4 linked regions of the Ovis aries genome follow. The protein of the gene in region 1 binds, or shares a complex with, the protein of each later gene. Links are inferred from orthologs where the notes say so. Each region holds a gene or a part of one and is shown in the gene's direction. Other genes may lie near its edges.

Region 1 (7,222 bases):
TGTGCAGGAGGCAAGGATCAAGACCATCCCCAAGAAAAAGAAGTTCAAAAAGGCAAAATGGCTGTGAGAAGACCTTACAAATAGCTGAGAAAAGGAGAGACGCAAAAGGCAAAGGAGAAACGGAAAGATATACCCATCTGAATTCAGAGTTCCAAAGAATAGCAAGGAGAGATAAGAAGGCCTTCCTCAGTGATCAATGCAAAGAAATAGAGGAAAACAATTGAATGGGAAAGACTAGAGATCTCTTCAAGAAAATTAGAGATACAAAGGGAACATTTCATGCAAAGATGGGCTCAATAAAGGACAGAAATTGTAGGGACCTAACAGAAGCAGAAGATATTAAGAAGATGTGGAAAGAATACACAGAAGAACTGTACAAAAAAGATCTTCTTGACCCAGATGACCACGAAGGTGTGATCACTCACCTAGAGCCAGACATCCTGGAATGTGAAGTCAAGTGGGCCTTAGGAAGTATCACTAAGAACAAAGCTAGTGGAGGTGATGGAATTCCAGTTGAGCTGTTTCAAATCCTAAAGATGATGCTGTGAAAGTACTGTACTCAATATGCCAGCAAATCTAGGAAGCTCAGCAGTGGCCACAGGACTGGAAAAGTTCAGCTTTCATTCCAATCCCAAAGAAAGGCAGTGCCAAAGAATGCTCAAACTACTGCACAATTGCACCCATCTCACACGCTAGCAAATTAATGCTCAAAATTCTCCAAGCCAGGCTTCGACAGTACATGAACCATGAACTTTCAGATGTGCAAGCTGGATTTAGAAAAGGCAGAGAAACCAGAGATCAGTTGGCCAACATCCACTGAACCAACAAAAAAGCAAGAGACTTCCAGGAAAACATCTACTTCTGCTTTATTAACTACACCAAAGCCTTTGATTGTGTGGATCACAACAGACTGTGGAAAATTCTGAAAGAGATGGGAGTACCAAACCACCTAACCTGCCCTCTGAGAAATCTGTATGCAGGTCAAAAACAACAGTTAAACTGGATAGGAACAACAGACTGGTTCCAAATCAGGAAAGGAGTACGTAAAGGCTATATATTATCACCCTGTTTATTCAACTTATATGCAGAGTACATCATGCAAAATGCCAGGCTGGATCAAGCACAAGCTGGAATCAAGATTGCCTGGAGAAATATCAGTAACCTCAGATACGCAGATGATACCACCCTTATGGCAGAAAGCAAAGAAGAGCTAAGAGCCTCTTGATGAAAGTGAAGGAGGAGAGTGCAAAATTTGGCTTACAAGTCTGCATTGAAAAACTGAAGATCATGGCATCCAATCCCATCACTTCATGGCAAATAGATGGACAAAGAATGGAAACAGTGACAGACTTTATTTTGGGAGGCTGCAAAATCACCTCAGATGGTGACTGCAGCCATGAAATAAAAGACACTTTCTCCTTGGAAGAAAAGCTATGGCCAACCTACAGAGCATATTAAAAATCAGTGACATTACTTTGCTGACAAAGGTCCATCTAGTCATAGCTATGGTTTTTCCAGTAGTCATGTATGGACGTGAAAGTTGGACTGTAACGAAAGTTGAACGCCAAAGAATTGATGCTTTTGAACTGTGGTGTTGGAGAAGACTCTTAAGGGTCCCTTGGACTGCAAGGAGATCCAACCAGTCCCTTCTAAAGGAAATCAATCCTGAATATTCATTGGAAGGACTGATGCTGAAGCTGAAACTCCAGTACTTTGGCCACATGATGCAAAGAACTGACTCATTGGAAAAGACCCTGATGCTGGGAAAGATTGAAGGCAGGAAGAAAAGGGGCAACAGAGCATGAGATGGTTGAATGGCATCACCGAATCTATGGACATGAGTTTGAGTAAGCTCTGGAAGTTGGTGATGGACAGGGAAGCCTGGCGTACTGCAGTCCATGGGGTCGCAAAGAGTCGTACATGACTAAGTGGCTGAACTGAACTGAACCCAGAGATGTGCTTCAACCCCACCTCAGACCAACTCTGCAGGAAGCCCTTAGCAATTCCTCAAATGGGGATTGTCATCCCTATTCTGTCATTCTTAACATGCTTCTTGTTTTGAAGATACTGGGCTCCACTTCCCCAAACCAATCTCTCATTTGATAGTTATTTTGATCTACAGACTAATTTATTGCATTCCTTAAGGAAACTGGGATGAAGTGTTTGGAAAAGTACAGAATTATCTGGAATGTAAAGAGTTGTCATCCATTTTTTTTAGCCCCTTCAAGAATTTTCTTAAAGATAAGAGTATACCTATATTTATTCAGCAAAGTTTTGCCAGCACTATACTGTTATTTCCTGTGGGTATCACATACTGGATAAACATTCTGTTTTCCCTTGTCTCTTGAAAACCAGAGCAGAGACAGCAAATTCCTAATAAGCTGAATTCTGTTCCTCAGCCCCACAAAAGACAACACAATAGCTTCTTATTTTCCAAATGGACAGGCAGTCTCTCCAGTTTGGAATGACAATTTAATGTGAAATTGTTTTTAAGTAATTATTTATGCCCTTTTATACAGGAAAATATTTACTAGTTTTATTCTAATCATATCTTTCTTCCCAGAGGCATAGGCATGCATGCATGAAAATATAGTTGAAAAGAGGAATAGAAATGTAATTAGGTTTTGTAAATAGCCAGCCAGGACATCCCACTGCTGCCTTAATGGTCTTATGCACCCAGTCACTATGCCGCTTTTGACTCTGTGTGACCCCATGGACTGTAACCCACCAGGCTCCTCTGTCCATGGGATTTTTCAGGCAAGAATACTGGAGTGGATTGTCATTTCCTCCTCCAGGGATCTTGCGACCGAGAGATGGAACCCTCATCTCCTGCAATGGCAGGCAGATTCTTTGCCACTGAGCTACATGAAAAGCCAAAAAGTCATAAAAGCTGTTTTAAAAATCACTTCATGTAACTTGTAATTTACTCAATTTAATGACACCACTTTTGAAAACTTAATCAAGTTGATGAATGTAACCCTGGCAACCTAGAAGTATGATTCGTTTTTATGGCCATCAGTCTATGTCTTAAGATACTGTCTAAGGTCAGCTTTCCTGGCACTGATGACTTAGTACTGTTTCATGTTCCAATCCATCGCCTTTCTCCAGGAATTTAATGGTCCAGTACCTGTAATGTTGCTGTGCTGATATTGCTTTTCTTACAGCTTCTATGAATTGAATATTCAAAACCAAAGACTGCCTATGGCCTGCCTTTGGCTAAACAGCCATTGCTAGGGGGAAGAAAAGATATGGTACCTATTGCTAATTATCACTATAGTTGTTATTCTTCCCAAAGGAGAAAGTGGATTATTTTCTATCCTTAGCTGGTTGAGGGTGCTAAAAACCAAAAGAGAGAGATGTTTTAAAGTTGAAGCAGACACTTCCTCTAGCACCATTGCATTTGAATGCCTAAAACAAACTAACACCCTATTTTCTTTCTCTTGAGTTTCACTGGTGTCTGAGTAAGTGAATATGCTGTGCTGTTTTCCTGGACATTCAGAATCAAGCAGGCTTATCTACTCCATCCCATCATGTCTGAACTATAAACTATATGAGCATCACTTTTGTTCATTTCCTTCCACCCCTGGCTGCACAGGGCATCGACAGCCGATTCTAGCAATGCATCTCCTCAGACAATGCATTGTAATAGCTCTCCCTCTTTCTCAAATTCCGTTTCATTTCTCATGTTCTGTTGAAAACCCCCAAAAAATTCATTCCACACTGTCATCCCTTTGTCCTAACCAGAACAACTCGATCGTGTCGAAGAAGGCATGAACCATATCAACCAAGACATGAAGGAGGCTGAGAAAAATTTAAAAGATTTAGGGAAATGCTGTGGCCTTTTCATATGTCCTTGTAACAAGTAGGTACTGGGTACCAGCTCTAATCTGTGGCGTCCAGTTTTCTTTCTTTCTTTTTTTTTTTTTTTTCTTTAATGTCAAAGTGAATGTCTGAAGTTTTGTCTTTTTTTTCTTTGTCCTTTTCCATCCGCTTCATTCTGTGGGGATAAAATACTTGTGTTTAATCAGAACAACTGGAACGCATTGAGGAAGGGATGGACCAAATCAATAAGGACATGAAAGAAGCAGAAAAGAATTTGACGGATCTAGGAAAATTCTGCGGGCTTTGTGTGTGTCCCTGTAACAAGTAGGTGCTGCCTGCCTGCCTGAAGCTTTGGTTTCCCAAGGCCCATCTCCAAGCCTTGACAATCTCATTCCTGCTGGTGCAAAGGCAGGATGAGTATGTGGCATGCAGAACAGATCAATACCGTCTCTAATGCATTCATCTCATAGCATAGATGATATTAGTGGGAGTAAACTGTTGATGCATTAAAAATCAGGCATACTACAGTGAAAGCTTCACTGTCAGCAACTTTTATTGATGAACGTTTCAACATTTTCCAGAAAGTGTACCTCAAGACAGAGACTAACCTCAAGAAAGAGGCGCCACCCAGGGAATTTTATGTTCTCTAAATCCCCGAAACCAAAATTGCAGATTTAGAAAAGACTGGGGGTAAGTTTGGAAGTTGAGATACACATATGTATCAAGGTTTGATTTTTCAGAAGCAAAAATTACAGGTAATTTGGCCCAAACAAGCATTCCATAAGTTAGAGAGTAAGTAAGACAGAGATTCACCCTTTCAACTGCCCACCAGTTACCAAATCTGGTCAGCGGTTAGACCATAGATGCCGCAGCTGCACCCAACGCAGAGGCAAAGAGTCCTTCAGCAAGAAGTGCTCATGCCTTAGCCAAATTGGGCCCATCCCTCTCCAATTCTTCCTTTAGGAAGATCTCCCGTACACTGGCCGAAATGTTGAAATGTGTAGATTTTGCATGCACGACATCACAAAACATTCAACTGTTAAGGTTCTGCAACGCTTTTTTGGAATGTAGCAGAAATGTGACATGTGGTTATAAAGGTTTGCAACAGAAGGAATCTGAAAATAAGTGTTCTGGAAGGTAGTCTTATTTGACTAGCAGTGGAAAACAAAAAATGCATGAGTGGATTGTCCAACATGCATTTGGAAGATTAAACCTGTTCCCCGATCCCCCTCACCCCTCCTACTTCCCTTTGAACAGAAGCCTTTTTCTAAAAGCTCTCCTGATCCTAGCTTTTAGAATAGAAATCGATGTCATTTCTAGCTGATTATATGACCATTCACATCCTTTAAACTTTGAGGCTGATTTAAAATATCCCACTTCCTGTTTAGGAGGGGAGGGGCTCAATTTACAAATAAATTTAAGTTTGTTTTTTTTTTTTAAAGAATGATCTACAGTAAAACCTGATTAACTGGAATCTAGCTAACTTGAACCTTTGAGTATATTTATATTTTTGTTTGTTTCGACTTTTAGCAAAAAGAGGCAAATAAACAAAGGGAAAAATCCCATTAGGGATTTAAAAGCATTTCTCTTAAAGGTCAGTCTAGGCAGTTTGCATTCTCTCACTCAGTCTTCATTCTCTAAGTTCCACATCCAAGCGGACCAAGCAATGAAAGCTGAGCTGCAGAGGAAAGGCAATCAGACATATCAAGAGAAACCAAAACCAAGGAATGCTTTGATCATGTTCCCTGCCCTAAGACTCTAAGGCAGGAAAGTGGCTCAAGGTCTAACAGATAGTCAGCCATCACTCTTGAAACTAAGTTTAACTCCATGGCCCACTGTGTTAAGAAAGTCCTATAATTCACCAAAATAACATTCCCAAGCATTCCAGTTAGTCAAGATTTAACTGTTCATCATTTTCAGTGGCCACTTGCCCCCAGGTGAGATGTCTACCTCTTTTGTGATGAATTTCATAGATACATTTTCCCCATCCACCAACTGTGTGGACAAAGGGTGGAGGCAGGCCCCCCTCCCTCCCTGTGACAGACTCTAATGCTCAGATGAAATCACGACCCCTGGGAATTCCAGGTACCAGTTGGCACTAATTCCTTATTACACAAGAGACCCTAACTGAGCTTCAAAGCTTGACTGAAGTGTTCCCTATTGTGTGTAAATAATGCTTTAAAAACCATGTGTCACAGCACAGTGGCTGGTGGCGCCCTGCACTCTCTGGGGGCTTCGCCCTGTCCCGGCATGTTTCGAGGGACTACGGTAGATGTCCCGCAGTTATGTGAGTCTATGTGCAGCATTGTGGGTGCAGTGATTTGCCTTCGTTCCGAAACGCAAACTTTCCCACTCCCTTGACTGCCAAAGATGGTACACCGGACATTTTACATAGCAGAAAGCATCACAAGGTCCATATAACTTCTGGTAATGTGAGGAGGGAGGAGACGGGGATTCGGAAAATAACAAAAACAAAGCCATACTCTAACCTTTATTAAATTCATTTTTGGATCCTGTCCCACTAAGTGGCCCCGGCTCTTTAGAGCAGTGAATTCTGACTGCTTGAAGGCTATGGCATTATACATTAAATGTGGGAGTTGCTGGAATTCCATCTGTACAATTTTCCAATTTGTCTCCAGGGTTTCTTGGTCCCTAATCTGCAAATATTAGTCTTAGTGCCAGTTTTAATAGATGGCTATGGTCCTCCAATAAAAAAGAAGAAAAAAAAAAAGGTTAAATTCTGGTGTCGTATAATAGAAAATACAAAATGTGAAAACAGGACCGAAAGAAGTTCTGTTCTTGGACTAAAAAGCGTGTGGTTTCTACTATGCAAAGAACATAAAAACATCTTTGATTGCTCAGTTACAACACACCCACCAAAATATGCTGCACACGTGTCTATTGGGCACAATAGGTATGCCTGGATTTTAAGTCTCTCTCCAAGGCAGCTCAGTGAAATATGGCCCACAGAGACCACACCAGTTCCATACCACTTTCCCCTACCACATCCCAGGATAGTTTGAAGTAGGCAGCTGTAACCACTCCCATCCTGTCCCTCAGTCCAACAAAGAAGCTATTGAACCTGCGTTTCAAATCCTCATGAAGGCTATTACTGTCCTGCTAGTGCCTTTTTTGAGAATGGTCAACTTCTGGAGTAGTTTGGCTTAAATGAGAATGCTTCACTTTCTACTCATGCCTGTAGCTGGTGCATGAAGAAGATGTAGAGGGATTTCCCTTTCTGGTGCTAGATGGCTTGTTCTCTCTTCTCTTTTCCTGCATTCATTTCACTATGCCTCTTTTACTTTTTGTCTCTGTGGACAAAGGTTTGTACATCAACTCTGGATGTATGGTGACTGTTTGGAAGTACCGATATATTATCTAATTCGAATCACTCTAGAGG
Region 2 (7,222 bases), on another chromosome or scaffold:
GAGCACTTTGAGTGGATGGCGGGACCGAGGAGAGATGGCCGTGGGGAGAGTTGGCATCAGGTGGCTGCCAGCAGGGCTGGCCAGGGACCTCCTGGACCCTGTGATGCCTAAGTGCCATCCCAAGGGTTCTCATGCTTCTGGTGTCCACAGCTGAGAGCCAGCACGTGGAAGGGTGGGCAGGGTCCAACTTCATCTGAGTCCACTGGCGGTGGCTGGAACGGAAACAGTAAGGTTTTGTTTGAGGGAAAAAGCAGATGACTTCAGGCTGCTGTGTGCATACTAAGTCGCTTCAGTCATGCCCGACTCTTTGCGACCCCATAGACTATAGCCCTCCAGGCTCCTCTGTCCATGGGATTCTCCAGGCAAGAATACTGGAGTGGGTTGCCATTTCCTTCTCCAGGGGATTTTCCCGACCCAGGGATCGAATCTGTGTCTCTTACATCTCCTGCAGGGATGGCAGGTGGGTTACCACTAACGCCACCTGGGAAGCCCCTCAGGCTGGTAGGAAGTGTCAAAAACAACGCACTTGAGATCAAAGCAGGATGCCCCCACAGGTAGAGTCATCATGTGCAGCCTTGTGCTATTCAGAGTGTGTCCTGGGACCAGTAGCATAGTGTGGAATCACTTGGGAGTTGTAGAAACACAGCACCTCAGGCCTCACCCCAGACCTGATGCCTTGGAATCTGCATTTTAACAAGATACCAGTGTGACTGGTATGCACATTAAGTTTGAGAAGGGTTAGCGTAACACATGGGCTTCCCTGGTGACTCAAAATGTCAAGAATCTGCCTACAGTGCAGGAGATCTGGGTTCAGTCCCTGGCTCAGGAAGATCCCCTGGAGAAAGGAGTGGCAACCCACTCCAACATTCTTGCCTGGAGAATTTCACAGACAGAGGAGCCTGGCGGGCTACAGTCCATAGGGTTGCAAAGAGTCAGACACGACTGAGCGACTAACAGACACACACACGCACACACACACAGTGTAGCACATAAGATACGTGGGTTTCAGTTTTAGCTTTGCTGCTTCCTAGCTGTGTGACCTTGGGCAAGTAATTTAACTTTAAAGAAAGTGCCTCACTTTCTTTACCTGCAAAATGGCTTATTAATAGTACCTCCTAGGGTTGGATGGCAAAGCGCTTCATACCATGCCAGGCATATAATAAGCACTATGTATTCATTAAGTATAAGATGCTATTATATGTCACTGGACATTGAATTCAGCTTGCTTTTGCTGAATACATATTTGGGGGGTGGGCTGCATTCATTCATTCATTCATTTGACCATCATGTGTGAACACTCACTGTGGCCCAGGCACTGTTCTGGCCCTGAAGACAAGATCCCTGACCCAGGGGAGTTCATAGTCTAGAGATGGACTCACAGTTACCTAATTACTTAATGTGGACAATCCCACAATTACTTATACATGAGACAAGTGCTATGCAGAACGGTTGCAATTAGAGTAAATAAAATGGGTAGTCAGAGAAGTTTTCTAAGGGGCAGGGATATTGGAATATGAAATATATATGGAATATGAAGGATAAGGGGAATCTAGACAGGAAAATTGTGTGTGTGTGTGCGAGAGAGAGAGAAAGATCACAAAGATGTGCAATGGGCAAAGGCATGTTTCAGGCACAAGGAACAAAATGTACAGAAACACTGAGGCAGTTAGGAAAACTAGAACTCAAAAAGACCAGGGTAACCAGAGCAGTGGTTCTTAAACTTTTGCCAGAATCCCCTGGAGGGGTTGCTAAAGCAGATTGCCAGGCCCTACCCACAGACTCTCTGATTAGGTTATTCTGGAGTGGGGCCCAAGAATTTTCATTTCCGACAAATTTTCAGGAGACACTGATGCTGATGGTCTGGTTATCAGACTTAAAGAACCACTGAACTATAATACTGAAATAAAACTAAGAGGGAGAAGAAGTTTAGGGTTTTATCCAGGGCCAGACCACATGGGATCACAGAAACCTTGTGGAATGGGAACCAGCTAAAGGTTTTAGGGGGAAGAGGGAGTGCCATGATCAGATTTATGTTTTAGGAATCTCTCCATGGCTGTGGTGGGGAGAACAGACGATAGAAGGGGATGAATGAAGACACAGGGACTGAGAGGTTCCTGCGGTTCCTGCAGTCACCTGGAGGAGAGATGTCTGTGGCTTGGCTGAGGTGAAGACAGAGAAGTGGGTGGATTCTGGAAATGGTGTGGAGTTAGACACAATAGGACTTGGTAGGGTCACTGAATGTCAGGAGAGTAGGGGCTCAGGAAGACCCTCTAGGTTTCTGATTGGAGCAAGTTAGTGGGTAGCGCTACTGCTCCCTGAGAATGGGAGCAGATTTACTGGGGGTGGAATGAAGAGCAGCCAGGATGAAGAGTTGAGCTGAAAGTGCAAGTTTGAGACCCAAGTGGAGACATCATGTAGACAATTAGATAAAAAGATCTGGAGTTCAGAAGACTGTCTCTGGAGGAGGTGACAGGAGGAAAGATTAAAGTTCTTAATCTGAAGTTAGTAGAATAGACAGGCTTTGGGGTACAGGGAAGGGGTTCCATGATGTTCTGAAATATATCAGAATGTATGTACCATTTTTCTGGGGAGTGGCCCAATTAGTCATCATCAGATACTCAAGAATATGTGCCCCAAAGAAGGTTAAGGCCATCAGCCAGATATTGAGGGAGCTGCTGGTGGCCCCTGGTCCTGTAAGGCCCATATAACGCTGACTCTGCTTCCAGGCGCCTGGTGGACCGCCTAGAGAACATGAGGAAGAATGTGGCCGGGGACGGGGTGAACCGCTGTATCCTGTGTGGAGAGCAGCTGGGGATGCTGGGCTCCGCCTGTGTGGTGTGCGAGGACTGTAAGAAGGTACCATCTCCTTCCCCTTCCCTGCTTCCCTGCGCATCCCATGCAGAGGGCCTAAGCCTGGGGTCCAGCCTTTTGGGGGCCTTGGGTCTTAGGGATGGAGCTTGGATCGATTCCTTCTAGCATGCTCTTGTGCCTGTTCATGGTTCCTCCCCTAGATGTCATGCTGACCCTTCTGTCCCCTTGGAGCTCTGCTCCATACAGGATGAACTTGGGAGAATGAGGCAGAACATGAACTATGGTTGAACCTACAGGTATTCTGGCTTAGCAAGATATTGGTCATCCTAAAGAGGATACTGGGGGACTTCCTGGTAGTCTAGTGGTTAAGACTCCATGATTCCACCACAGGAGGGTGCAGGTTCAATCCCTGGTTGGGGAACTAAGATCCCACATGGCAAAAAAAAAAAAAAAAAGTATGCTGGGCTTATGTCTATATACATGTGTACATGGAAAGCATACACAGCATGCTCTACCCTGGGTTATAGTACAAGCCATTTTAGAAAGCCTGTCTCTAGCCAAGTTAGGCCAAGTTAGACTTTGGTCTTCTTAAGCATTCACTCTTTTTTTTTTCCTTAAGATGTTTTGACATGTACTATTTTTAAAGTCTTTATTGAATTTGTTAAAATATTGCTTCTGTTTTATGTTTTGTTTTTTTTTGGCCATGAGACATGTGGGATCTTAGCTTCCCAACCCACACCCCCTGCATTGGAAGATGAGGTCCTAGCCACTGGACTGGCAGGAAAGCCTCAAGCATTCACTCTAGGGGCTTGTATGCTTTCCACCTTGTCTGCACTTGACCATTCCAGGACAGAAACACAACTGTCCTTGGGTCTGTCTGATTCCCAGGAAAGGAATTCAAGGGAACAATCCAGCTGGAGAGGTCCATAATATCACCTGACTTCTCCTGCTTGGGGTCCCAGTTAGCATTTAGAATGGAGTATTGGGGAAAGGTTATCTACTCCAAAAAACCTGCCTTCTGTAGTCAACTAGATAGTGAGAATTTTGTGACCTATTTGTTTTGACTGGCAGGAAACTCAGCCAAAAGTATCCTGTTCCATCACATAGTCACAGCATCTACTCAGATAACTTCCTTCTTTGTAAGGAGTTGAACCTGTAGTCGTAGTCTAGCTTGTCTCTAATTCATTTGGGAAAGAAAGAAGAAATAAAGAAACAGATAAATAGTTGCTCTTTAAAAAATTATGTCAATGATCTCCCTGGTGTGGATGCTGAAAACTCAGGCCCCACAGAGACTCTTGGAGAATCCCTGCGTTGAGGGCTTGGGAATGATTCCAGTTCTTGTTATCAGAAATCAGGACTCAAATTAGAACTTTATTCTAACTGGCCTTGGTCATGGGAGGCAGGTGAGGAACAAGGGAGAACAGGGCTTTGTTGCCACCCTTCCCAGCCACTTCCGATTACCAGCAGCTCCGAGCCTGACATATCTTGAGTGTGCACTGGGCTGTGTTTTGTCTCCAGAATGTCTGCACCAAGTGTGGGGTGGAGACCTCCAACAACCGCCCACACCCTGTGTGGCTCTGCAAAATCTGCATCGAGCAGAGAGAGGTGAGTGGATGGGTCCCATTCGGTTCCCGGAGCCTATTGTGTCGGTGCTCTGAGGACAGGGAGCAAAGTGGAAAATTAGCATTCATCAAGACAGGAGCAATAGTGCTCAGCTGCCATGTCTTCATCTTCTACCTCTCCTCCTCCAGGTGTGGAAGCGCTCTGGAGCATGGTTCTTCAAGGGCTTCCCCAAACAGGTCCTCCCACAGCCTATGCCCATAAAGAAGAACAAGCCCCAGCAGCCAGTCAGTGAGCCTGTGCCTGCTGCCCCTGAGCAGCCCACTCCTGAGCCCAAGCACCCTGCCCGAGCTCCAACTCGAGGTAGGAAAATACAGTTGCTGCTTTCAGGACCAAGGACAGATCTTGGCTAACTGGTCTACCTGAAGGGTGTCCTGGCATCATGTCTGTGTTTCTACCCAGCTGGTGGACAGCCAGCCAGCCTCTGGGCTTTGGTCTAGAACTCCTATGTCCCTTTCACAACTCACCATGAACCCTTATCAAGAGAGTAGCACAGGGAACTCTCCAGCAATGCCAGGCTGCCAAAAGGCTTTGTTGTCATGCCTGATGGAGTGTTTAGAGGTACAGCAGAGGTGGAAGTCAAAATTAGGAACTGAGAAGGACTCCCAGCACCAAAGTACGCACTGGAGTCTGGAGGGCAGGGGATTGGAGGCTTGCTGAAAAGGCCTTATTTTCTCCTGATATTTCTTATATCAATCACCAGCAAATCTGAAACTAGACTAATTAAAAGTGAAAGATGAATAAAAAGGAAATTAGCAAAAAGAAAATTACTGCTACTATGGATATTATCACTATTATCTATTATTATTAATTATTAAAATGATAATAAAAGAGTGACAAAACAGTAAAAAGAAGAAAAAAAAGTGCCCAATCATAGCTTCTCAAGGCACCCAGTAACATGTCTGACTCTCAAAAGGCACTCAACAAATACTTTTATCCTGGCAAGGCATGAGCAATTTCTGCTCTTTGCAGAGACTCACCAAACTGTCAACATACCCTGTAGCCCTGGGTTTCCATCACTAGAGCATCTTTCTCCCTGGTTAAGCATTACTCCCTCTAAGATGAAGACTATGGCATAACTGCCAACATCTTGAACACCTGAGCCCAGGAGTACTTGAATTTGAGTTCCAGCTTTGCAGCTTACAAGTTGTGTGAGCTTGGATGAGTAATCTAACTTCTCTGAAACTCTTTCCTTATCTATAAAATGAGGTTAATAACTCATGGGGTTATTTTGAAGATTAAATGAGATGCTATAGGCATACCTCATTTTATTGCACCTCGCTTTATTGCACTTCACAGTAATTGCAGTTTTTCACACACAAAAAATGATTTGTGATCAGTGATCTTTGATGTTACCATGGCAATTGTTTTGGCATTTTTTAAGCAATGAAATATTTTTAAATTAAGGCATGTACATTTTTAAAGACATAATGATATTTCACACATAATAGATTTAGAATTATGCCTATGATATGAACTTTCAATATTCTTTTAACAAGCAATTACTGAACACCTAATGAGTTCCAGGCTCTGTTCTACACCCTAGGGAGTCAGTGAATGAAGCAGATAAAATCTGTACTTTCATGCAATTAAAGTTTGGTAGGACAAACAGATGCTCAACAAACAGCAAGTGCAAATACAATAAATATCAGGTAGTTATAGGTGCCTGGAAGAGAAGTGAAACAGGTAGAGGGGATAGAAGCTTCATGTTGGGCAGAATGGTCAGAGAAGGGCTGTCTGAAGAGAGACATATTTGAGAGAAACTGACCAAGGTGGTTAAAAGTGCCCATAGAATCTTTGGGAATGTCGCTTGCGAAGGGCTTGAGGTTGGAGCATGCCTGATGAATCCTGGGGAGAATCAAAGTAAGTGAACAAAGCACATTCTAGAAAGAATACAGAGGTGATGATCCCAACTCATTTGCAAAGGAAATAATGTGATGTTGTAAGCAGTCTCTACATTAGAGGGGAAATTGGGAGAGGAAATTTTTAATTTTTTTTTTTTTTAGCTCTTAGGAATGGTGGACAGACCCTTTTGTGAGCTTCTTAAGTGATGCCTCTTCAAAAACATCAAATACATACCCCTGGTCAGTTTTTTCTCTCTCTCTGCAGGTGACACTGAAGATAGGAGGAGCCCAGGTCAGAAGACAGGTGGGTTCTGCTGACTCTGTCTTCTACTCTGGGGACAGGAGTCCTTTCCCCCATTCCTCCAGTCCCCCTTTCTACATTCCATTCATGCTTTCCTTTCAGGCCCTGACATGACCTCAGCTCCTGGGCGAGGAAGCTACGGGCCTCCTGTGCGCAGGGCCTCTGAGGCACGAATGAGCTCCTCTGGCCGGGACTCAGACAGCTGGGACCAGAGCCACGGCATGGCTGCTGGGGACCCTAGCCAGAGCCCAGCAGGTGAGAGAGATGGGCAAATCCAAACAGGCTTCCTGACGGAAGAGAATCAAAAGGAATGGGGAGGACAGTGTTTTATCCATTTATTCACTGGCCATTGGTAGACATTCAGGGAACACTTGTTGAAGGAGTGAGTGAGTCAATGGATGGATGAACAAAGACCAAAATGAACAAACAAACAAGCTGTGCTAATGCAGGACCCTGAGGCAAGGCCTGGGGACTAGTTAGCCCAGCCAGGAGTGCAGGAGTGGCCAGGTACTTTCTGTTCTGAGCGTTCAAGCATCTCTCCTGTGGAAACAGTTTCAATTCAGGACTTACCTGGTGGTCCAGAGGTCAGGACTCAACACTTTCCATTGCAGGGAGCATGAGTTTGATCCCTGGTCAGGGAACTAAG
Region 3 (7,688 bases), on another chromosome or scaffold:
AGTTCAGGACACCCAGGTTCAGTCCCTGGATAGGGAAGATCCTCTGGAGTAGGAAATGACAACCCATTCCAGTATTCTTGCCTGGAGAGTTTCACGGACAGAGTCTGGCGGGCTACAGTCCGTGGGATCACAAAGAGTCGGACATGACTGACGAACACGCACACAAGGAGACTTCACAGCTCAGTAAATCTGCAAAGGAGGGGAGGGAGAGCAGAGGAGGAAGCTGAGTTTGAAGCAGCGTGGATACTGCAGTTAAAGGGAAAGGACCCCGGCATCAGGTGATCCAGGATTGACAGCCTGGCTCTCTGTGCCTCTTTGCCACCTTGGGCAAATTTCACCTCCCCTGTTTGGGTCTCAGTTATCTCCTTCTGTAACTGGGAAATGCCCACCCCCAAGTATCTGCGGATGAGAAATTGGAAAGCAGGTATTGGCAGGTGCCTGGTGTGACCTGAGCAGCTGCCACCCATCGAGCGCAGGTGCTGTCGCTGTCCTTGTGTGGGTCCCACCTTCTCAAGTGCGGCCCACTGACTGGAAATGAAAGTGGCTGGCTTCGTGGTCTGGTGGTATGTTAGGTATCTATTGCTGCGTAACAAATTAAGCTGAAACTTAATGGCTTAAAACAAATGGAAACTTATATAGTTGCGCTGCTTAGAGGGGCAGGTAACCCAAACTGCTTGTGGTTATCCAGATTCGGCACCCCCCCCCCCGAAATCTTATCTGTGGTCAGAATGCAGTGGCAACCGCAAGTGGTGGTCCCAAAGAGACTCTGAACTTCAGGAGAGATCTGGGCAAGGTTTCCTGTGTGTCACCTCCCTTCAGCCAAACTCCACCCTCAGAAAAGAGGGTCTTCTCAACCCTGAATTATCTCCATCCTGATCATTTGGGGGTCCTGGAAAAAATGCCCTTCCACAGACTTTCATAATCTGAATCATTGGCAGTAGGGCCCTGGGACTCAAAAATTTTTTAAAGATGCTTTCTTAGTAGAGCAGTTTTTAGATTTACATGAACATTGGGAAAATGCTGCAGAGAATTATCATATACCCCACACCCAATTTCCCCTCTTATTTAAATTTTTATTTATTAATTTACCTTTGGCTGTGCTGGGTCTTCATTGCTGCAACGGCTTTCTTTAGTTGCAATACAAGGGCTTTGTTGCCTCTCAGCATGTGGAATTTTCCCAGACCAGGGATTGAACTCGGGTCCCTTCACTGGCAGGCAGGTTCTTAACCACTGGACCAGCAGAGGAGTCCTCGCTTACATTTATCTGACATTAGTGTATGGCATGTTTGTTACAGTTAATGAGCCAGTATTGCTATATTTTTATTAACTAAAGTCTATTCTTTATTCAGATTTCATTAGTTTTTACCCAAGGTCCCTCTTCTGTGCAAGGATGCTCCCTAGACAGGACACCACATTTAGGTTCCTCTCGGTTGTGACAGCTTCTCAGACTTGCTTTGTTTTGATGACAGTTATGAGGAGTTGTAGTCAGGTATTTTGGAGAGTGTGCCTCAACTAGAGTTAGTCTGATGCTTTTCTCCTGATCAGAGAGTGAGGGAGACAGCAGAGGTGAAGCGCCACTGTCATCACACGTTATTAAGAGTACATAGCATCAGTGTGAGCTGTCACTGTTAACCTCCGTCACCTGGTTGACAACGTTTGTCAGGCTTCTACACTGTAAATGTAGCGCCTCCGCCCCCAACACCGTCCTCTGCAGATGAAAGTCTGTGCACAGTCTACATGAAGGAGTGGAGTCATGTTCCATCTTGAGAATGGAATATCCACATAAATTATTTGGAATTATGCACAGAATATTTGTTTATTCTCCACCATTTATTTTTCAGTCATTTATATCAGCATGAGCTCATGGAGATTTTATAGACTGGGTTATAATCAGGTGCTACTTTGTTGTTCAAATTGTTGCAGCTTTGACTATTGGGAACTCTGAGCTCATGGAGATTTTATAGACTGGGTTATAATCCAGGGCTGCTTGTTGCTCAGATTGTTCCATCTTTGACATTGGGAGCTCTTTCGGTTGGCTCTTGTCTCTTTGATATACCTCATCGTGTGTGTGTGTGTGTGTGTGTGTGTGTGTGTGTGTGTGAGAGAGAGAGAGAGAGAAAGAGAGAGGGAGGGAGGGAGAAGGAGATTCATGGTGTGTGTGGGGGTGTGGGGGTGTGTGTGGGAGGGTGGAGGCAGAGAAACAAAGAGATGGAGGCCAGGAGACTTACCTTCTGGAACTACAAGACCTTCCAGGCTCATCCTGTGCAGTGTCCTAGAACCAGCCTTTTATCCAAGGAGCTCTCGTTCCTTTTGTTGGAGAACAAAGAGTATTAAAAACTAAGATCTGGGCGCTAGATATAATTGAACCTAAATTTTTAACAGTTTCACTAGCTTTTTTTTTTTTTAAATGAAACCAGCGTTAGACAACCTCTGCTCCCCTCTGCATACCTCTAAGACATTGCAGGTTCAGTTCATAAATAAAGCCAGACACATGACTTTCCCTTTGTTTCCCAGTGCATGTAAGTTATGTTTACACTATGTGTGTATGTGTGTCAGTCGCTCAGTTGCATCCGACTCTTTGAGACCCCCATGAACTTTAGCCGGGCAGGCTCCTCTGTCCAAGTAACTCACCAGGAAAGACTACTTCAGTCTATTAAGGGTGCAGCAGCATTATTTTAGAAATGTATAATTTAAAAATATTTTATTGCAAAAAAATGCTAATCATTATCTGAGCCAGTCTTAATAATAACATCAAAGGTCACCAATCACAGGTCATCCTAACAAGAGTAACAAAAAACTTTAAAATATTGTGAGAATTATTAAACGTGGCATTGAGACACTAAATGAGCCAATGCTGTTTGGGAAACCGCACAGCTCTGAGAGAACTGCTTAATGCAGGATTGCCACAAACCTTCAATTTGTTTTTTTTTAAAGTGTATCTTGGAAGGGCAAGAAAGCAAAGCACAATAAAATGAGATATGCAGCCTTCTCTGGTCTTCCCAAACCAATTTCAGCATAGGTCGACAGAGGGCGCAACAAAACGGAGACCGCTTTCCTTCTTACCCACGGACGCCTTTCCAAGTGAAAGAGACCTTCAGGAGGTAATGAGAGGAGGCGGGGACTAAGCTCTGCGCAAAAGAGCTGTCAAACCCAGTCTTCCGGCATGGAGCTATCACGTGACGATTAGGGATCAGCTGACTAGGGTCTAAATTCCGCAGGGAAGTCAGACGGAGCCAAAGGCTGAAGTTGATTGGTGGAGCAGGAACAAGCCCAGGAGGCGGGTCCTTGGCGCTGAGGGCTACGATTGGCTTGTGCGGAATCACGTGGGTTATCAACCAGCGCACCAGGCACCCTAAGACAGATACATGCGCATGCGTTAAAAATTGGATCGCTGATTGGAGGCCGTGAATCACGGGGCGGCGTGCCTCGGCTGGAGAGGGCGTGGTCTGCGGTGCGCACGCCGCGCTACGAGGCCGTTGGTTGGCCAGCTCGAATCACGTGGTTCCTGGCCGCAGGAGGCGCGCGCCGGTGCGACGTCAACGCAGCCCACTAAGCTCCCCCGACCTGTCTCCTGCGACCCGGTCGTATCTGAGTTCTCCGAGGGCAGGGCTCCGGCGGTTTGCTGAGTACTTTTGCGGCCGCTATGGACAACTCCGGGAAGGAGGCGGAGGCGATGGCGCTGCTGGCCGAGGCGGAGCGCAAAGTGAAGAACTCGCAGTCTTTCTTCTCGGGCCTCTTTGGGTAAGAACCGCGCGCAGGGGTCGGCCGGGACCTCGGCTGAGAGGACGGAGGAGTCATGCTCTGGGGCGGCGGTAGAGGCGAAGGGCTCGAGCCTAGAGGACGCGGGGGTTTGCGGGCTTACGGGCATGGTCTGAGGCAGCAGAGGGTACAAGCCATGGCCGGGACGCCGGACTGTGGCACTGACAGCGTGATTCGAGGAAAGACTGTCCGAGACTGTGGCAGGGCCGTGGGCTGAGGACACCCGGGCCGAGGCGAAACCATCTGGAGGCAGGAAGGGGCCCCAGGCTGGAGACGGGCCAAAGGGCCAGGGGAATACGGCCTCAGGCCTTGAAGGGAATGTGGCCTGCGGGGACCGAGGGAGCCTGGAGGGAAGCCAGGCTAGGAAGCCTTTTGGAGCTCAAGGAGAGCCTGTTTGAAAGATCCCAGACGGGAGTCTTGGGCCCTGAGACTGAGGACTTATGCCTGAGGGCGTCCCTTTTCCGAGACCTGGGGTGATGGACTTACGTGAACTCTGGCCCGGGCGTCAGGGCTAAGATGATCCTACGATTGATGGACCCAGTCTGAATTGCGTGAAGTGTCTCAGGTGAATATGGCCCAGGTCACAGGTGACTAGTGTAAAGAGACCTGACTGCCAAGTGAGATCTGAACAGAGGAAGCTCTGGGGTGATGGAGTGAAGGCCGAAGAGGGCTGGGAGGCTGGAAACTAAGTGGGAGTGAAGCTTGGTTTAGGAACTGGTGGGATAAAAATGAAAGATGAGGGAGATAAGAAAACCTAAGGGGCCGGAGGCCTGCTGTGTGATCTTTGAGTAAAGATGGGGCATGCAGTGTGAGCAGAATGAGACTGGCATGCCCAGGTTAGGGCTGAAGGGGGCTGGGAAACAGAATCAACACCTAATGCTTGTGGCAGACATTTCACATGAGTTCATGTTGGCTCATAAGAGTTGTTCTGATGACTGTCGTTTGAGGAATTTTAGTGGCTGAGGAGGATCAAAAGCTCAGGTCAGAAGCCTAGGCTCTGCCATTTCTTGACCTTGGGCAAGCTGTTTAACTTCCCTTATTATGGGGAAGTGGTGTCTCAGAGAAACCTGTCTCAGGCATTTGCCACTAGTATTGAAGTAGGGCACGCGTAAAGGGTGTAGAATTGAGCCTGGGACGTGGTTATCACTCTGAAAGTGTTAGCTACCATCAGTGTCATTTCCGGGAAAGAAACAGGTATGGAGCCTGTTCGGGACTGATGGGGATCAAGGTGGGGGTTTGATGGGCGGGACTGATGGGGATCAAGGTGGGGGTTTGATGGGAGAAGTGGGAGGGGGGCTGTCAGAGCAGGGAGAGGCGATGTGATGAGTAAGGAGTTGAAAGGGGTTGGGGAAGGAATTCGGGCCATGGGGACTTGATAGGGTTAGGGGAAGGGGCTTGAGACCTCCGGTGGAGAGAGAGCCAGGGAGGACTGAGGAACGTTGTGTTGCTCTTGAAACTGGGAGGAGAGCTGCAGGGGAACAGGCGGGTGTGTAGAGAGTTAGGAGGAACTGTGAGGAGGGGCCATGGAACCTGGCAGCAGAGAGGCCAAGGCTGGGGACGGGGTTTGCGGGGGAAGACTGGGGCTTTAGGAGAGACGGTGTTAGGAGGTTGGTAAGAAATGAGGAGGAGGGTTCTTCCCCGGAGAGGAGATGGGAACCGCTCATTGTTACAAGTGGTGGATAATGTTTACTTATCCACCGCAAGAACTTGAGTAACCTGGCTGAGACCTCGCTAGTGTGGAAAAACATCCGGGGCTGATGGACTGTATTGATTAGGTGAGGAATGTTTTCTTTCAGAGGCTGAGAGTAGGGAGAGCGTGTCTGTGTTTCTGCTTCCTTCACAAGGGGAGAAACTCAAGTGCAGTGCTTTGTGGTGGGGCCAAGAGCTTAGTTTTCAGTCAGGTCATGGTTTTACTGGGTGGCTTTTGGTGTCTGGTCCCTGGGGATTAGTGTACTGTTGGGCCATGCTTGGAAGGAGCAGCCAAGTCAGGGCCTGAAACACTTTGTCACCTGGCTGGGAAGGCAAGATGAAGACTTGCTAACACACTAGTAAAGCAGAATTGTCACATGTGATTAAGGGCTGCATTTTATCATTGGTGGGAGGTTCCTGACCTGAGAGGAAGCTGCATGAGCTTAAGGAACTCCTTGGTGAGGAATGAGCTGGGCCCCTGGGAACCCTGGGACATGCCACAGGAGTGGGGACTGGAGAGGGTGTTCCAGGCAATGGGAATTGTCTGAACAGAGGTCTAGGGTGAGGGGAGGTTTGTCCAGAAATGATGGGGAACTGAGATCCAGAGAGACCAGGGCTGGCTCCCTGTGGGGAGAAGCCTCCACCTGGGAGGATGAGCAGGAGTTCCGGGGGTGCTCTCTGGTGGGAGAGCACAGCTCCCAACAGAGGAGGCAGCTTGAGCAAGGCCCAGATGTGTGAAGGCCAGCGTCTGAAGGTTTACTGCAGGGGGTTCTGCGTCAGCCCGTAAAGGTAGAACAGGCAGAAGGGGATGAGACTAAAGAACCAGGCCCCATCCCAGAGGGCTTTTTGAGAAAAGGCTTGGATTTGTGGAGGTGCTGGAGAGCACTGAGGATTTTCGTGGCCTTTTTAGGCTGTTCAGACTGCTGTAACAAAATACCATCAGCTCAGTACCTTATAACCATCAGAAACATATTTCTCACATTTTTGGATGCAAGAAGTTCAAGGTTGTGGTGCTGACAGGTCTGGTTCCTGGCGAGGGCCTGCTGCCTCCCAGACGGCTGTTGTTTCACTGTGTCCTGCTGTCTTTTGTAAGGGCACTAATCCCAGTCACGAGGGCCCCACCCTCATGACCTAGTCACCTCCCAAAGGCCCCACCCACCTCCTCATATCATCACCCTGGAGCTTAGGATTTCCACACACAAGTTTTGGCAGGGGACACAAGAATTCAGTTCACTGGAGGGCCAGTGCTGAAGACCTCCTGTGTAGAAAGGACTCCAGCAGCTAGAGTGGGGGAGAGTGAAGGCAGTGACGGGAATAGTATCTGACAACATTTATTAAGGGCTCACTCTAACTCTGACTCAGGCCTGGGCCCGGCACTTGCTGTGCATCCTCTCGTGTGGTCCTCACAACGCCCTTCTGGAGGTGGATGTGTAGGGGTCAGAGTTGTGGATCCTTGTGCCCAGTCTTCCACTGAGTGGGCATTGGTGTTCATACCCAGGCCTGTCTCATCCCAAAGCCCTCTTGCTGCCATCCAGAGTTTTTCTTTGAGGCTCAGGCCCATTTTTGGGCACTCCGTTTAGGAGGATGCTGGCAAACTAGGCGTCTCAGGGAGTTTCTTTCCCCTGATTTCCCCGTCTTCCCACCCACATGGCAGTTTTCCCCAAATGTCTGAAAGAAAGAAGAGCAGGAGTGTTCACCCCAGAGCCTTCAGCTCCAAGAGCACTTACAGTGGTGCAGGGTTGCAGACGGAGACTGAGACCAGCATGCCGGAGCCTGTCTGCCCGAAAGGCCAGCCCAGGAGGACGTGCCTTGCGGGCAGAAACCGCTTCTGACACTTGGCCTCTGGAGCTGGGGTTGCTTGGCTTCCACGTTTGACAAGCCCCCTTTCCGGGAATGCAGGAGGGAGTGTCAGGGCTCAGCTCATCCCTCCAGCACCCACTTCCCCTTTCAGGAACCTCAGTGATGGCAGCATTCCAGTTTGAAAGGTCTCTGCTCAGATCAAAAGGGCCAGGCAGGGTCGCGTCTGCCTGGGATCCAGGGCAGCCTGGTTGCCTGGGATGTTAAGCCCTTTGCCCTTTGTTGTTTCAGGGCTGCCAGACACTAGCGGGCTTTGGCGCACCAGCAGCCTGGAGGGGAGGCGGTACCAGCCGGCTCTCAGATCCAAGCTGCTTCTGTTCCTTCCTTCCTGCTGCCTTCCCCGCCCTTAGCTCCCAGACAGGGCTCAGGAGATGGGAGAGCAG
Region 4 (7,222 bases), on another chromosome or scaffold:
CCAGGCAAGAGTACTGGAGTGCGGTGCCATTTCCTTCTCCAGGGGATCTTCCTAACCCAGGGATTGAACCCAGGTCTCCCACATCGTAGGCCGATGCTTTACCATCTGAGCCACCATAAAAGTTGTGTCAAAAACAGACCTTCCGGCTTTAAAAGTCGTGAAGTGCCACCAAGATGAATGATAATATTAGCTGCTGGTGCATCTGCTGCTAAGTCACTTCAGTCGTGTCCGACTCTGCGCAACCCCATAGACGCCAGCCCACCAGGCTCCCCCATCCTGGGGATTCTCCAGGCAAGAACACTGGAGTGGGTTGCCATTTCCTTCTCCAATGCGTGAGAGTGAAAAGTGAAAGTGAAGTCGCTCAGTCGTGTCCGACTCCCAGTGACCCCCTGGACTGCAGCCCACCAGGCTCCTCCTCCCCTGGGATTCTCCAGGCAAGAGTACTGGAGTGGGGGATAATATTAGCTAGCTTTTATTAACTCCCTGTTTTCATGGTACCCCAAGATAAATGTTTAAAAAGAAAAATCTCTTTACCTAAAAAGACCTTCTAGGATCTATGACTTTGATGATGATATCCCTTTACCTTCTAAACTGTTCAAGAAATTTTAAAAATTAGATAAGAATTAGCTGAGTTAGAGATCAGGTTCTTAAGAATCATTAAGACACAGTTCTTTGTCAACTAGGGTAGCTTTAAATCTCTCCAGTTTGTTTTAAATCTTTCTGGTTTGATCAGTTCACTGATCTTTCAGGGTGGGAAAGAACTTGATAGACGTAAATACAGTTACTACCTAACTGTAGCATGTGTTAATTATGTCCAGTTTAATGAGAAGTAAATGATAAATAAATCAAACACCAAAAGTCAGCTCTGATAACTAATGCCCAAAGTCAGTAATACTGTGAGCCCTAAGTAATGGCAGGAATTCTGGGCTTTATTTAGTTCAGATAACATCTTTACTTTTTGAAGTGTCCAGAGGATTCCTTACAAAGAATGTATTGATATGCATGGTCATATTGTAAATAATTACATTTAATTAGCTTCATTACAGTCCTAGTTCGTTATTTTATCTTACTTTCCAGAAAGCCGCATGTTGGTTACAGATACAGCCTTGTAAGTATGAATTTGTACAGAATTATAGGTCTACTATTTCTACTTAAGTAAATATGGCATTTTAGGTTATTTTTATCATTTATACCATGATTTGACTATCAGGGGTTGGTTAAGAGCAAAACTGCCTATTATTTATAAATTCTAGGGGAGGTCAAGGTCAGCAAATGTTATCTTAACACAAAACATCTTTTGCAGAAATACAGACAGCTTCCCTTGTGACTCAGCTGGTAAAGAATCTGCCTGCAATGTGGGAGACCTGGGTTCAATCCCTGGGTTGGGAAGATCCCCTGGAGAAGGGAATGGCTACCCACCCCAGTATTCTGGCCTAGAGAATTCCATGGACTATATAGTCCATGGGGTCGCAAAGAGTCGGACACAACTGAGCGACTTTCACTCACCCATTCTCACTCAAACTGCTTTTATATATGTATCCAACCTTTTTCTACTAATTAATTCTACTTTCATATTTTTCAATAGAAATCTAGGGGTACCTCATCCTGGTTAGTCATAATTTTGAAACTCCTACATTGGTTTTGAGTATTATAAGTACCATTTTATAAAGTAGTATTTTTAAGAATATAGTACTGAAAAAAAATATAGAATTGAATTTTTTTTTTACTCAAACATGATGCAATGTATTTATTCTTCTCTTTCTAACAAACACATTTTAGGAGGTCTTTCGTTCTGAGCATCTATAATATTCTACCTGATAAAATTTAATATTCTGCATTTATTTTTCTGAATGTTCTTAGCTAATCTGATTTATAAAATGATTCCTGTGAGTCATGGAACATAAAGTCTGAGGATTTTTGTAGATAAGGCTGTAATCAAATATACACACTTGCTTACCAAAACTAAAAGACAATCCTTAAAGTCCCCTAAGAAGCTTTCATGGTGGAGAAAAATGTGATGTTTATCTCTCAAGCAGAAGCCAGAGGGGAGTTGGAAGAAGTAATTCCATCTCTTATCAACAAAATGCCCCCAAACCTTTCAAGTATAGATGATCAAGTTTAAAAGACTTTAGGCTATATCACTAGTTCTTTCCCTGCCCCAAAGAAAAAGTATTGCAAAAAGAGAGAAGGAGAGAATATAATCTCACTTATTCACATTGCTAACCAAAAGCAAATTCCAAATACCAACTTGGCAAAGCAAGAGACAAACTGTTTGCTTTACTAATCATGTCTTTATAAGCTTATGTCTATTTTAGCCATCCTTTGACCATCTGTCTACATTTTGTGTACTTACAATCCAGCATTATTATTGCTACTGTTGTATGAAGTCACAAAAAGATACTGAAACATTAAAATGGAAATAGCAATCTTTAAGGGTATTGGTCTAGATTAAAAATTGAGCCAATGGGCCAAAGTGCACTTATGCACTTATGGATCAATTTTGTAAAAAGTTGCTGTGACTTTTTTTTTCAGAGGTGAATTGCTTTTCCACCCTATTGGTTGAAAAAAGTACAGTCTCAAAATTTCAGACCCCATTTTAAGATGTGAAAGCTATACATTCTGCATTTTCTGAATAGTATATCCCTCGAATAACAGTAAGAGTCTACTTTTGTTTCCCATATGAATCTAAACCAGTCTGTTGACACAGCATGACTGATGGCAGAGCATCAGAACAGTCCACTCACACCTTCTGTTTCCTTTGCAAAAACATGAACAATGCCAGTCAACACTCATGTTCATAATAAGAAATAGGAATGTATCACTGAGAAAATCAGATGTGAAGAATGCAGAGATTTCTGCTATATTTGAATAAAATCAGACAGTCACTTAGCATTAAAACCATAACTGTAATCTCTTTTAGATGAAGCTGAAATTATTTTTCTTTGACCCTATGTCCTATATTTAAATACAGAATTTAATATATAATAATTATTTTACTCTAAGTTAAAACAAGAAGTAGCTAGCATACAAGTAAAGGCCAAATGTGATAGAAACTTGAAGATCTTGTTTTTATCTCAAAAAGCTACCCAGTTTCTAAGAAATTTCTATCTAGCTGGTCTGAAGCTTTGGTTCAAAATAAAATGTTCCTGCTTTATAATTACAGGCTTGTGATTGTTTAACAACTTATTTCCACTTACAAATCACACTCTGGTAAGAAAAATAATACACAAGGGCTTTTAGCAACTGGGAAGTTATTTGATTGCAATCCTTTTGCAAATATGAATTCCATATTTAAATGTAATCAGCAACCTTTTAAAAAGCCTCTTTTGTGTTTAAAACCAGGCTTCCTAGAGCTTGCGTATATCATAATTGAGTTTCTGAAGTCTGGGTATATCATTTCTTTTGCCTTCTGTGTTCAGCTTCTTAAGAGAATAGAAGTTTATCAAAAGCAAAGAAGAAAAGAGCAATCACAATGTGCAGCCTTGTGAACAAATCAGTCTTTTCCAACATGTTCACCAATGCCGATGTTGGCCATCTTCTGCCTCTCATTTCAGCTCCTGGTAGGAATCATCCAGGCTGCCGAGCTGCCTGCCTTGGACATGGGGGGCACCTCTGATCCCTATGTGAAGGTTTTTCTGCTGCCCGATAAAAAGAAGAAATTTGAGACAAAAGTCCACCGAAAGACCCTTAATCCTGTCTTCAACGAGCAGTTTACTTTCAAGGTATATTTTGTGTGTGTATTTACTGTTGAACTTCTTCTCTGTTGTTTTAGATAACAGACCAGTCTCATCCTGACATATACAGATACATGCGCATGACCACTTTCAGAGACTCACAAGTGATTCTGCTCAGAATATCCATAATTCTTATTTTCAATGTAATGAGGGCTCTACTATGCATTAAATTTGATCCAAATAGGATTCAGCTCAGCTATTTCAGAATAGAGTGTGGACTGGCATAGAACAAGGATGTCATTCGTGTCCATAAAGTGAGTTCAGCTTCCAGTGTGTCCATGGACCTGAACATTTCCCCCTCTCTAAAATAAAGCCAAAAAATTACAGACTTTTCCCAGGTTTCCAAGTTTTGAAAACCAATCACAACCACAGAATAAAGTAAGCTATCCAACATTATTTCAAATGATACAAATAGGTATTACTCTCATTGCAAAATTCTTTGTGTACAGGGCCAATCTGAGTATTTGAAAACATTCTAAATCCATAAATAAAAAGAATACAAGCCAATTATTTTTTTTTTCCAGCTCTAGCATTTTTCCTTTCCTCTTGGCTCTTCCTGGTGTTCTTCATCTTGTTGAGACACCTCAATTAACAAACGATAACAAAGAGGAATTCTGGCCCCAGAATAACAGGAAAAGGTGCCTGGCGGGCTTCAGGCATCTCCTATGTACAAGCTCTGTAGTTCTCCACCTGAAGTCATGCGTAAAAACAGTCTCTTGGTTGGTGTCTTTAACATGTGAAATTCTTTAATGCATTCCTTAAAACGATACATGTCTGTGAATATGCCAGCAGGCAGAGTCAGAATCACTCATCTACCAGCCAGCCTTAGCGACAGCACACACTGCATGTCAACAAATATCCCAAATAAATGGAGGAAACTTCAGGTGTGAGTCAGTCTCATGAACCTGGCTTCTAGTTTTCCAAGAGAGTACTGACGTTCTATTCACTCTACAATTTCAGTTTGTAAGACAAGAAAAATCCCTTCTGTGCTGTCAGCAATCCTATTTAAAATCTACACTTTTCTAAACCAAGACAGCTAATGTAGAATAGCTCTAGAAACATTCTGAAACTACTCAGTTTAAGAAAAACTAATCATTGAGATCAATATGCCACAGAACGTACAATGAAAACAAACAAAACAAAAATATTGCAAAAGGTAATCAGAATCATTCTATTTGACTCTGTGTGGATCTCAATTTAGGTCAGTAGTTTCTAGCCACTGTTTAGCTAGCACATTCTTAAATTATTTGAAATATTGTGAGGCTTTGTTTTGAGTTATCTATATGCTATTTCTTTTTTAAAATGTGTACTGCTAATAATTTCTAGTAATGTCTATAACTTCAAGAATTATAATCACGGGAGATTTTGAAATTGCCTATAAAATTTAATCAGGTTCCATTTCATTTTAAGAGAGTTGATCACATCATAAATCAAGCCAAAGTACAATATATTTTCCTACATTTAAAAAATACACCACTGTTTCTAGAGAACTAGCCAGTTTCTCCTTTTAGGCTTTGTAGATTATGCATCTTAAATGAAGCAAAATAGTTTAAAGGGGATTGGCTTTAAAACTGAGTTCAAATCCACTGAAAATGAACTTGACATGCCCCAAATGAAACGCTCCTTTTCTCCACAATAAACGTCCACTTGAAAGAGCTACTTATATTCAAACAATAAATATTTATTAAGTACCTGCTGTGTGCCAGCACTGTGCTAAATGCTTTACATGTATTCATTTGGCCTCAACCAGCTCCCGAGAAATAGACACTATTATCATCATTCTAGGTTTATTTACTTGTCCCAGGCCCTTCAGCTGGAAGAGGGGGAAACCCAGTCTTGGACCTGTCTGACCTCCAACTCGGGTTTTTGACTGTCATTTCGTATAATCACCAACCAATCTAGACAAATTTCAGAAATAAGATGCAATTCTCAAGAGCTCATCCCTACTCTAAAATTAATTTCTTTCTTTCAAAGTCATCTCTTTGGAAGGGTTTACTTTTTCATTCTAAAGTGGAAAATGGGTTATGCCTAGTTTTTAATCATAGTATTTTAACCCAATTCCTAATAGATGACAAATGATAGACAACAAAAGCTCTTTGGAAAAAAGCAAAATTTCTTGTATATATACGGTCAAAACTTCTTCCTTCTCCTTTCTTTCTTAATATACGGAATTAATTGAGAAATGTTTGCTGGAGCATAAGACAACTATTTACACTGATAAAATAATAACAAGTGTCTGAAAATTGATGAAACCTTCAATACAAGTCTAAACAATTTCTTAATTAGGCATTTCTTCCCAGTTACTGAAGTGTAGCTTCCGTGGAATTGCCCTGCTTTCTCTGAATATTAAAAATGTCACTAATAAACATCCCAGCCCATAGCATCTGTCCCAGATATTTTTGAACAGCTGGAGAATTCATCAGTTTTTGGCCTTTTGCCTCTGCTCATCCTAAAGAGTGTCATTCCTAAGAATGAACTTCAAGATCTAGATTATAATGAATCTGATATTCAAAACATCAATTTTCTAGTCAGCTCCTGTCAATCAGCAAATTATTTTAAGGAATAGGGGAGGCACCTTGTGAATTTCATTGCAATCCTTACAGACTCCTAGCATGTCTTCTCATTAAGCACTGCTTCATTAAACTATGGCATCCAAATGACCTCAAAGAGTTAATAGAACTTTTGGAATAACTACCCCTGAGTAAGTTGTCCCCTGACAATATAACTTAACAATAACAACAAAACATTCTTCAAGAAAAAGTGCCTTATATAGTCAAGTGCAATCAGCTTGGTTTACTCCTGTTTTACTCTTGAAGTATTTCTAGCATGACTAATAGCAGGAGCCATTATTAATAACACTAACAGCTTCTAGAACTTTGGGAGAAAGTGATAAATCACTATGGTAAGCCCTCACTTTCACCCAAGTAACTTAAGCCCCAAGTAGTTAGTCAAATGATGCAATTTAAGGGGGAAAAAAAGTGCTACTTTTCTCCCTGTTCTGTTTATCCAACATAAATATTAAAATTAAACACTATGAAAAAGTAACATATTTTAAGCATTTTTTGGTCACCAGATATTTTATCCTGGTCTTTTTTATCTAGGTGCCATATTCGGAATTGGGTGGCAAAACTCTGGTGATGGCTGTCTATGACTTTGATCGCTTCTCTAAGCATGACATCATCGGGGAATTTAAAGTCCCCATGAACACGGTGGATTTTGGTCACGTAACTGAGGAGTGGCGTGATCTGCAAAGTGCAGAGAAGGAAGAGGTAAGGAAAACATTAGCATTTCTAACATGACAAGCTGGACTCGCCAGTTGCTACTCTCAAACTAACCTACTGAGAGATGCTGGGCTGGTGTGAGTAATGTGGGCCTCCAGCTGCTGACAGCTGGCAAAATAGGGTCAGGGGATTGCATAACCTCGTTAAAAAGTATGCAGGTCTACTGAATCTTATTTGAAGGAAAAGAGAGATTTGTGCAGGTCTTGG

Evidence for each region.
Region 2: the proteins of SNAP25 (region 1) and RPH3A are in contact, whole or in part, in a crystal structure (PDB 5LOW), measured with the Rattus norvegicus proteins. The link is inferred for Ovis aries from reciprocal best matches to the Homo sapiens genes SNAP25 and RPH3A. Residues at the interface, in NP_112253.1 of Rattus norvegicus: Glu38, Asp41, Ile44, Arg45, Leu47, Val48, Met49, Asp51, Glu52, Glu55; in NP_598202.2 of Rattus norvegicus: His617, Ser618, Ala621, Ile648, Ser649, Ala650, Lys651, Gly652, Leu655, Tyr659, Leu662, Lys663, Lys665.
Region 3: the proteins of SNAP25 (region 1) and NAPA are in contact, whole or in part, in a cryo-EM structure (PDB 6MDM), measured with the Rattus norvegicus proteins. The link is inferred for Ovis aries from reciprocal best matches to the Homo sapiens genes SNAP25 and NAPA. Residues at the interface, in NP_112253.1 of Rattus norvegicus: Glu37, Lys40, Asp41, Ile44, Arg45, Leu47, Asp51, Glu52, Glu55, Gln56, Arg59, Glu62, Gln152, Asn159, Met163, Asp166, Glu170, Thr173; in NP_542152.1 of Rattus norvegicus: Lys122, Glu155, Glu156, Ser157, Asn158, Ser159, Ser160, Asn162, Pro196, Leu197, Leu198, Tyr200, Ser201, Lys203, Asp204, Ala234, Phe235, Ser236, Arg239, Ser268, Ile269, Ser270.
Region 4: the proteins of SNAP25 (region 1) and SYT1 are in contact, whole or in part, in a crystal structure (PDB 5KJ8), measured with the Rattus norvegicus proteins. The link is inferred for Ovis aries from reciprocal best matches to the Homo sapiens genes SNAP25 and SYT1. Residues at the interface, in NP_112253.1 of Rattus norvegicus: Lys40, Asp41, Ile44, Leu47, Val48, Asp51, Glu52, Glu55, Gln56, Arg59; in NP_001028852.2 of Rattus norvegicus: Cys277, Arg281, Lys288, Val292, Leu294, Glu295, Asn336, Tyr338, Asn340, Arg398, Arg399, Pro400, Ala402, Trp404.

What each region holds. Positions count from the first base shown.
Region 1 is NC_056066.1:3,366,889-3,374,110, forward strand, and holds part of SNAP25 (synaptosomal-associated protein 25), read left to right. Parts: intron 1-3,744; coding exon 3,745-3,862; intron 3,863-4,028; coding exon of another isoform or gene 4,029-4,146; intron 4,147-7,222.
Region 2 is NC_056070.1:61,606,281-61,613,502, reverse strand, and holds part of RPH3A (rabphilin-3A), read left to right. Parts: intron 1-2,726; coding exon 2,727-2,856; intron 2,857-4,329; coding exon 4,330-4,416; intron 4,417-4,562; coding exon 4,563-4,734; intron 4,735-6,540; coding exon 6,541-6,579; intron 6,580-6,678; coding exon 6,679-6,831; intron 6,832-7,222. UniProt on the Homo sapiens protein: Plays an essential role in docking and fusion steps of regulated exocytosis.
Region 3 is NC_056067.1:54,243,082-54,250,769, reverse strand, and holds the start of NAPA (alpha-soluble NSF attachment protein), read left to right. Parts: upstream 1-3,496; 5' UTR 3,497-3,643; coding exon 3,644-3,741; intron 3,742-7,688. UniProt on the Homo sapiens protein: Required for vesicular transport between the endoplasmic reticulum and the Golgi apparatus. Together with GNA12 promotes CDH5 localization to plasma membrane.
Region 4 is NC_056056.1:115,391,458-115,398,679, forward strand, and holds part of SYT1 (synaptotagmin-1), read left to right. Parts: intron 1-3,554; coding exon 3,555-3,722; intron 3,723-6,835; coding exon 6,836-7,003; intron 7,004-7,222. UniProt on the Homo sapiens protein: Calcium sensor that participates in triggering neurotransmitter release at the synapse. May have a regulatory role in the membrane interactions during trafficking of synaptic vesicles at the active zone of the synapse.